Linked DNA regions of Rattus norvegicus. The protein of the gene in region 1 interacts with the protein of each later gene in a pairwise test. Links are inferred from orthologs where the notes say so. Each region holds a gene or a part of one and is shown on either strand. Other genes may lie near its edges. The genes, in order: Mab21l3 and Aggf1.

Region 1 (3,819 bases):
CACACCCGTGCTCACCTGCAGGTGGTGGGTGGTGATGACCGGCCTCCTCCCTGGACACCACACATCCTCCTTCAGCTGCCTCAGGACCTGAAAACACCGCCTGCGGCAGCCTCCATCTTCATCCAGCTGCTCACACAGCACCCGCTCTGCCTGGGAGAAGCTCAGCTGCCAGTGATAGGTGGACTGGGCCACCAAGTTAAACCCAAATGACTGAAAACAAAGAAGGATAGGAAGTGAGACACAGGAAGCTGGCTCACGTGGAGAACAGCTCAGACAGCTGGAGGGACCCATTGCCCACATCTTGTGGTATGTCTATACGATGGAATATTATTCAGCCAATAAAAAGAATCAAATTCAGTCATTCACAGGGGCAAGGATGGGATTGGAGTATAATATGCATAATGTAATAAGCTAGAAAAAGACAAACACACACTGACTATTCTCACTCAAATGTGGATGCCAAAACACTGAGGCCTAAAGGCATCATGGGAGAATGCAAAGCATCTTGGTACACTCAGGGAGCAGGGGTGGCTCAGACCCCTTGATGGCAGTTGTTTCTACCAATGTCAGAGCCCTAGAGGACTTACCAGCTTTCGCCTATGGGTTTCTGATAAGAAACCTGCATTTCTGACAAGCTCAGTCAGTGCTGCCATGGTGGGAGGGGGACATGTGAATTAGAACAGCAACTCTAAGGAACCCCCTGCTTCCCTAGGACACTACATGCTCAGTAATGTGCTCAATGTTATTGGCAAAGCTCATGGCACTCTACCAAATGAACCCCATCTGCTCACCCATACCTTGATGCACTCCACTCTCTCTGGGGAAGGCCACCGCTTCAGACACCGAGGCCACTGGGCTTTCTCAGGCCAGGTGGTGGGGATCTCCACAGTGGGGGCCAGCTCCAGTTCTACCTGGCCTGTGGACGTTTCCACAGCAACCCAAACAGTAGTGCGTTTTTCTAGCACAGTGACTTTGCCTGATGGGAGAGAACCAGAGGGACACTTGAGAAGAGAAAGCCTTGCTCTGCACAAGCAGCAGGGCCGGAAGCAGTGAGCAAATGCTCTGGGAGCTGTCAGTGCGACTGTCAGTGTCAGTTCTGTAGACACCAGACAGTCTGCCCCATCACAGTGTCACAAGGAAGGCTCATGCGGGTGGGTCTTTGCCTTTTCTCCCCACAACTCCAAAGCTTTGAAGCACATATTATTTTGGGGTGTGTGCGTGTGCACACGCACGTGTTTTGTGTTATGCTGGAGATCATGTATGCATGCATATGTGAGTGTCGGGGGAGACTGAACCTAGGGCCTCAACGCTGATCACAATACCTCTGGGTTATAACCCAGCAGGTTTCCATTCAAATTGATAGATAGGTTCTTTTCAGAAAGTTCAATGAAGGAAGGTCAGAGAATAAGATGGAAAAGAAGCGTACTGGTTATTGTGAGATGGAATCTAACATTTCTGTCTCAGTGCTGGTTTAGCAGGGATCCCTGTGCAGGTGAGGGTAAGGACTTCGATCTCATGTCAGGAAGGTTGGCACTGACCCCACCCTTCCCTGGGTGCCTTCCAGGGGAGTCCTACTAACCTGCTTTTCATTTGAATCAGTCTCTTGGTCACAGCTGGAAGGGTCAGGTGAGTGGGAGGGGTCACAGCTGGAAGGAGCCAGGTGAGTGGGAGGGGTCACAGCTGGAAGGGGCCAGGTGAGTGGGAGGGGTCACAGCTGGAAGGGGCCAGGTGAGTGGGAGGGGTCACAGCTGGAAGGGGCCAGGTGGGTGGGAGGGGTCACAGCTGGAAGGGGCCAGGTGAGTGGGAGGGGTCACAGCTGGAAGGGGCCAGGTGAGTGGGAGGGGTCACAGCTGGAAGGGGCCAGGTGGGTGGGAGGGGTCACAGCTGGAAGGGGCCAGGTGGGTGGGAGGGGTCACAGCTGGAAGGGGCCAGGTGAGTGGGAGGGGTCACAGCTGGAAGGGGCCAGGTGGGTAGGAGGGGTCACAGCTGGAAGGGGCCAGGTGGGTGGGAGGGGGTCACAGCTGGAAGGGGCCAGGTGGGTGGGAGGGGTCACAGCTGGAAGGGGCCAGGTGAATGGAAGGGAGTTTCCGTTATTTCATTTTCCAAGCAGGCACAGAAGAAGAAATGTGTGGTGAGTTTTCCAGCTCATGAGCCAGCCTGACCTCATTGCCAGGGGTTCTCTTTTCAAAACAATGGATTTTTATTTTATTTTAATCTATGTGTATTTGTGCGCCTGCACAAGTTTCTGTGCACTACATACATGTAGCAGCCTGCAGAGGCCTGAAGAAAGTATCAGATCCCTTGGAACTAGAGATAACAGACTGGATCCTGGGGACTGATCCCAGGTCCTCTACAAGAGCAGCAAGTGCTTCTAACCACTGAGCATCTCTCCAGCCCCAACACATGGGTGATTTGGACTTTTTCTTTTTTGGCTTTGTTACAGATAAGGGTGGGTATCTTGAACTAAGGTCTGTCATTTCAGTCTTTCCTTCTTAGGGGAAAGGAAGCTGTAAACTGTGTTTGACTGTTCTGGGGAAAGCAAGCTGTCCTGAGCTAGGTGTGATAAATGGCCCATGGTCTACATCTCACCAGAGAGGCCCCAACAAGGCATGGATAAGGAGTGTGGCTTCAGCTTTAGTCACTGAAAGTGCCACACTGGCCTGGCCCTGCTTGCCACTCCCATCCCAACTTTCACTAGTGGAGCATCTCTGAAGGTTAGCATTGAACCTGGAGCTGGGCTGCCTGGACTACTCTCTGCTTCTGCAGATGTGTGTGGCTCTAGTGCATGACCCTCAGGCAGCTTCAGAAAAGAACTCTTTCTCTTCTCTCCCTTCCTTCTTTCCTTCCTCCCTCCCTTCCTTCTTTCCTTCCTCCTTCTCCTCCTCTTTTTTTTTTTGTTTTTTGTTTTTTTTTTTTAATTTTAACAAGGTCTCCAGTATCCCAGGCTGGCCTTGAATTTTCTATGCAGCAAACAGATGGCTTTGAATTTCTGACCCTCCCTCTCTCCACCTCCCAGAGTGCAGTGATCAGAGGTGCACCAACGTGACAGATGTACGCAGTGCCGGTGATCGAATCCCAGGTGTTGTCCATGCCAGGCAAATATTCCACCAGCTAAGCTGCATGTTATCCCAGTCTCAGGTTGCCACAGAATTAAATATCCACACAAGCGCCTTCTATAGCACCCATGAGATATGACCAGGATGGGGGACTTTCAGAGCTATTCTGTTCAGACAAACATTTACAAATGTATCATCTGACACCGAGTTCTGTAGCTTGTGTAATTTTTCATAAGATGTGCGTGCTCGCGTGTGTCTTGCTTGGCAGGGGCTGCATGCAGTCTGCCAGGCACAGGTGCCATCATGGACTGGACCAGTTTTCTTGGATAGTTAGATTTCTTTTTTCCTAGTTGGTTACCGTTTTCAAACCTAGAGCAGAGGATCTCCTTGGTCACAGTTCTTTGTGTGTTTGCAAAAGCTTATTTGTTGAATGGCCAGGTAAGCACTTCATAAAGATAAATAATGGACAAGTTGTCCTTTAAAAGTGAAATGCTCCCAAGAACAGGAGAAAGCCCATCTCACCCGACCCACCCAACCCCACAGGGCCACCCTGCTCAGACTTCTGATAGCTGTTAATCTGCTCGGAATTTTAATGCTCCTATTGTTGTTGGGATTCTTTGTCATTGTTGTTTTCCTTCAGATTTATTTGTAATTATATGATGTGTGTATTACGTACACACGCATGCAGGTACCCATGGAGGCCAGCAGAGGGCATCAGATCCTCTGGAGCTGGAGTTAAAGTGGACGTGAGTCACCTGAGGTG
Region 2 (3,819 bases), about 160 Mb from region 1:
TTTTGCTTGCATGTATGTCTATGCACCAGTTGGGTGCCTCATGCACACAGGGCAGAAGAAGATGATGGATTACCTGGAACTGGAGTTACAGACGGTTATAAGCCTTTGTATGGAAGGACTGCCACGGGTGCTGGGGATCAAACTCTGGTCCTCTGGAAAAACAGCCAGCGCTCTTAACCACTGAACCATCTCTCCAGCCTGACCGTGGCAAATTCTTAAAGATAGTAACACCTAGGACGCCTAGATGTCCGGTTTTAAAGGCTTGAATGTGGGGTCATTCTGTAATGGATGAGTGAAGTGCGGCGTACCCAGTACTTGGACAAACTGTGGCGTTTGCTGAGCCTGTTAGCAGAGCTGCCGTTTATGAATAACGTGCTCTGCAGTAAGGGAGGCTCAGTCCTGTGTCTGCAACTCTGGAGGACTTGCTTCCCTGAGCATTCGAGTGTTTCAAGTCAGTGTGCATTGAGAATTGAGATGATTTTAAATAGACAGTGATAGTACTTAATGTTGGGGGAGAAATCAAGTCCTACGTACAGTCCAATCTTACATATGTTTTAAAAGTGGAAGAGGCAGGATATACACACTTTCATCACAGTTAGAGGTGGAAGAATTTGAAGCGTAGCCTCCTTATTTCCACCAGAAAGTTGTGATACTTTGTATTCAGTACAGAGCATGAAGAGAGATCGGTGGAGTTGTCAGAGACCAGTGTATACACCATTGCATAATAGTGAAGTTAGCTCTGGGCTGAAAACGTTTTGTAATTGCTTGGTTGCTTTCCTTTAAGTTCCATGCAGAAGTTTACTTTGACCATGACTTGCAGAGCTACGTTCTTGTGGATCAGGGCAGCCAGAATGGTACCATTGTCAACGGGAAACAGATTCTTCAGGTAAGTTGATATGTAGTAGTCGCTTGCACTTCCTTGTCTGAGCTTAGGTCCTAGTCATTACAGATAGCATCTGGTCCAGATCAGGTTCAAGCACAAATTTATAACTTGGTTGGAATTTTCCAGAAAGGGCTGGAAAAAGATTTTTAGTAGATATTGGTCTGGAGTTTTGACTTCTAATTATACCTCTATTGCTACTTCAGGGATGACTATCATAAAGCTTATCTAGTTTAAATATTTGTGTGTGTGACCTCTACATGTGGAAGACAGCTTCGTGTAGTCACTTCTCTGTGCTGAGCCATTTCACTGACCCAGGACTGAATATTCACAGAAGTAGCTTTGGTGGCCCTCCTTTTCCCTGTGTGCTGCTGCGACTCTCCCTCTGACACTGCTGGACAGCCAGCTCTAACCTTTTTTTTGTTTTTTTGTTTGTTTGTTTTTTGTTTTTTTGTCTTAGTAAAAATAATGCTAAACTAGGACTTTTCTGAAAACCAAAGTACCCTGACAAATCAACTTAGGAAAGGAAAAGAGTCGTCCATGATGGTGAAGCAGGTGGTCATATTATGTCAGACTTCAGGAAGCAAAGGGAGAAAATGCTAGCAGTAAGCTCAGTTTCTCCTGTTTGTTCCAGCTAGGACCCCAGCCCATGGCATGAGGCTACCCACAGTATGGTAGATCTTGTCACTTGAGTTAACCTACTCTAGATGATGCCTCACTGGCATGCCCAGAGGTCATCATTAACTACATGTACTCCCATGGTGTGCTCAGGACCATAAGTGGGTCTAGATTCTGTCGTGTTGATAATAAAAACCACCCAGGATGCCTTGTTCTTATGCTTTAAGAATGAAAGAAAGAAATTGTAAGAAAAGCTAAGAGGTGACTTAGTGGTTAAGAGTATTTACCATGGTATCATTAGAATCAAAGTTCTGATCCCAGGGCCCATGTAACAACTTATGTTCACACACACACACACACACACACACACACACACACACACACACAAACACACACACACACACACAGAGCAAATTTCTTTTACAAGAGGAATCAGTTCTTAACATAGAACATTCCTCTGATTGTGTGTTTTGCTAATAGATTGAAGTCTGGAGTGGACTGGTAGACTTTGATAAGATAGAATTAGAAGTAGCTTTTCGGGAATACTGTAAGGGATAGTGGGTGGGGCCCAGAGTTTGGTTCGTGGTAAGTGCATGCTCTTCCTGTGCTAAGTCATGGTCCTGGGAGTCTTTTGCAGGGTCTGTGTGTCCATCAAGTTGTGGAAGTGTGCATGGGTCTCCTTTTCTGAACGTTTCTCTACCATAGACATAATGTAACCATGTGACTATTTTGTATTTCTCTTTCATTAAAAATTTCTCATCCAGCCAAAAACTAAATGCGATCCTTACATCCTTGAACACGGTGATGAAGTAAAAATCGGGGAGACTGTGCTGTCTTTTCACATTCACCCTGGCAGTGAGACTTGCGATGGCTGTGAACCGGGGCAGGTCAGAGCTCACCTTCGCCTTGATAAAAAAGATGAGCCTTTGGGTATGTGAGGCAAGTGTGGAGACTGATCGCTAAGTGTCTGGGATGAGTAGTGGCCCCTCTGTACCAGTGAGCCCCCTTCGCCCCCTCACGTCTCACCGCATGTGCCTAGTTGGCCTGCTCGTTGTAGACAAGGTGCATTGTATGTGCCCCAGTGTGTGGTACTGAAGGGTGGTAACTGACACATTCGGAACTGTCCACACGTGCAGGCCACCTCTAGCCAAAGTGCTTTGTAGAAACTGTTTTTAAATTGACTCTCAAAACGTGTGTTTCCAGAAGGGGTTTTCACAATCCTTAGTTCTCCTTTACCCGACTCCCCACCCCTTCCTCCCTCACTTCCACATACGTGTTTAGCCCCATATTATTACATAAGCTCTGCTTCCCCTCCTCCCTCTCATGGGCTTGTCCCGCCTTCCAGGTCCTGCAGACACTGCATGTTAAATGCACCAATCTACTTTTTCCACATAGCATATGTGAAGTGTAAGAATATGACATTTTGCCTCCCTGGGTCTGGCTTAGATACCTCAGCATAATGCTTTCTACTTGCTGATGAGTGGATAGTGATGATATAGCATGTAGACACACTATGGAATCTTTTCTACTATAATGAAAAGTGAGATGATGACAGTTGCAGTAAAATGGTTTGAATTGGTTAATATACTAAGATAAACTATTTTTTTAGTAAGTACTAATTTCCTGTAAGTCTGTCATATTCAAACTCAGTTTTTCCTTTTAGTTGGTCCAGCATTAAGTAAGGAAGAAAAAGAGTTGGAAAGAAGAAAGGCACTAAAGAAAATACGAGTAAAGTATGGTTTGCAGGTAAGGTGCTCAATATTCTCTCATCTACTCAGTGTACTGAGCACGCTGCGTATATTTTTATTTACCACGATTACTTATGTATTTCTATAGTTCTGGTGTTTATAACTTAACTTCTGAAGTTGGGGTTGAAAATATAGTATGCGGGGTTGGGGATTTAGCTCAGTGGTAGAGCGCTTGCCTAGCAAGCACAAGGCCTGGGTTCAGTCCCCAGCTCTGAAAAAAAGAAAAGAAAAAAAAAAGAAAAGAAAATCTAGTATGCGTGTGGGTCTGAGTTCAGATCCCACACCTGACTGAAAGCCAGTGTGCCGTGCCTGTTGTAACCCCACTCCAGAGGCTAGAAGGGTCTTGCTAGCCGGCCAGTCCATTTGAATCAGTTAACCCACCTCAGAAACTAAGGTGGCGGGCAGTTAGAGAAAACCATCCCATTCCTCTGACTCTGTGCTTATGCACACACAAGTTTAGGCAAATTTTCTGAGGTATTTAACACCAAAGTCACAATGCATGAGAATAAGTTGACAAGCTATGCTCTGTCAAAGTGTAAGATTTTGCTTACCCAGAGACACTTCAGAGAATAT

What was found.
Region 2: the proteins of Mab21l3 (region 1) and Aggf1 interact in binary tests that used the Homo sapiens proteins (3 or more experiments, as listed by UniProt). The two-hybrid records come from large-scale screens. The link is inferred for Rattus norvegicus from reciprocal best matches to the Homo sapiens genes MAB21L3 and AGGF1.

Annotation. Positions count from the first base shown.
Region 1 is NC_086020.1:191,942,971-191,946,789, forward strand, and holds part of Mab21l3 (protein mab-21-like 3), read right to left. Parts: intron 977-3,819; coding exon 798-976; intron 211-797; coding exon 16-210; intron 1-15.
Region 2 is NC_086020.1:28,360,104-28,363,922, reverse strand, and holds part of Aggf1 (angiogenic factor with G patch and FHA domains 1), read left to right. Parts: intron 1-784; coding exon 785-886; intron 887-2,262; coding exon 2,263-2,428; intron 2,429-3,161; coding exon 3,162-3,244; intron 3,245-3,819. UniProt on the Homo sapiens protein: Promotes angiogenesis and the proliferation of endothelial cells. Able to bind to endothelial cells and promote cell proliferation, suggesting that it may act in an autocrine fashion.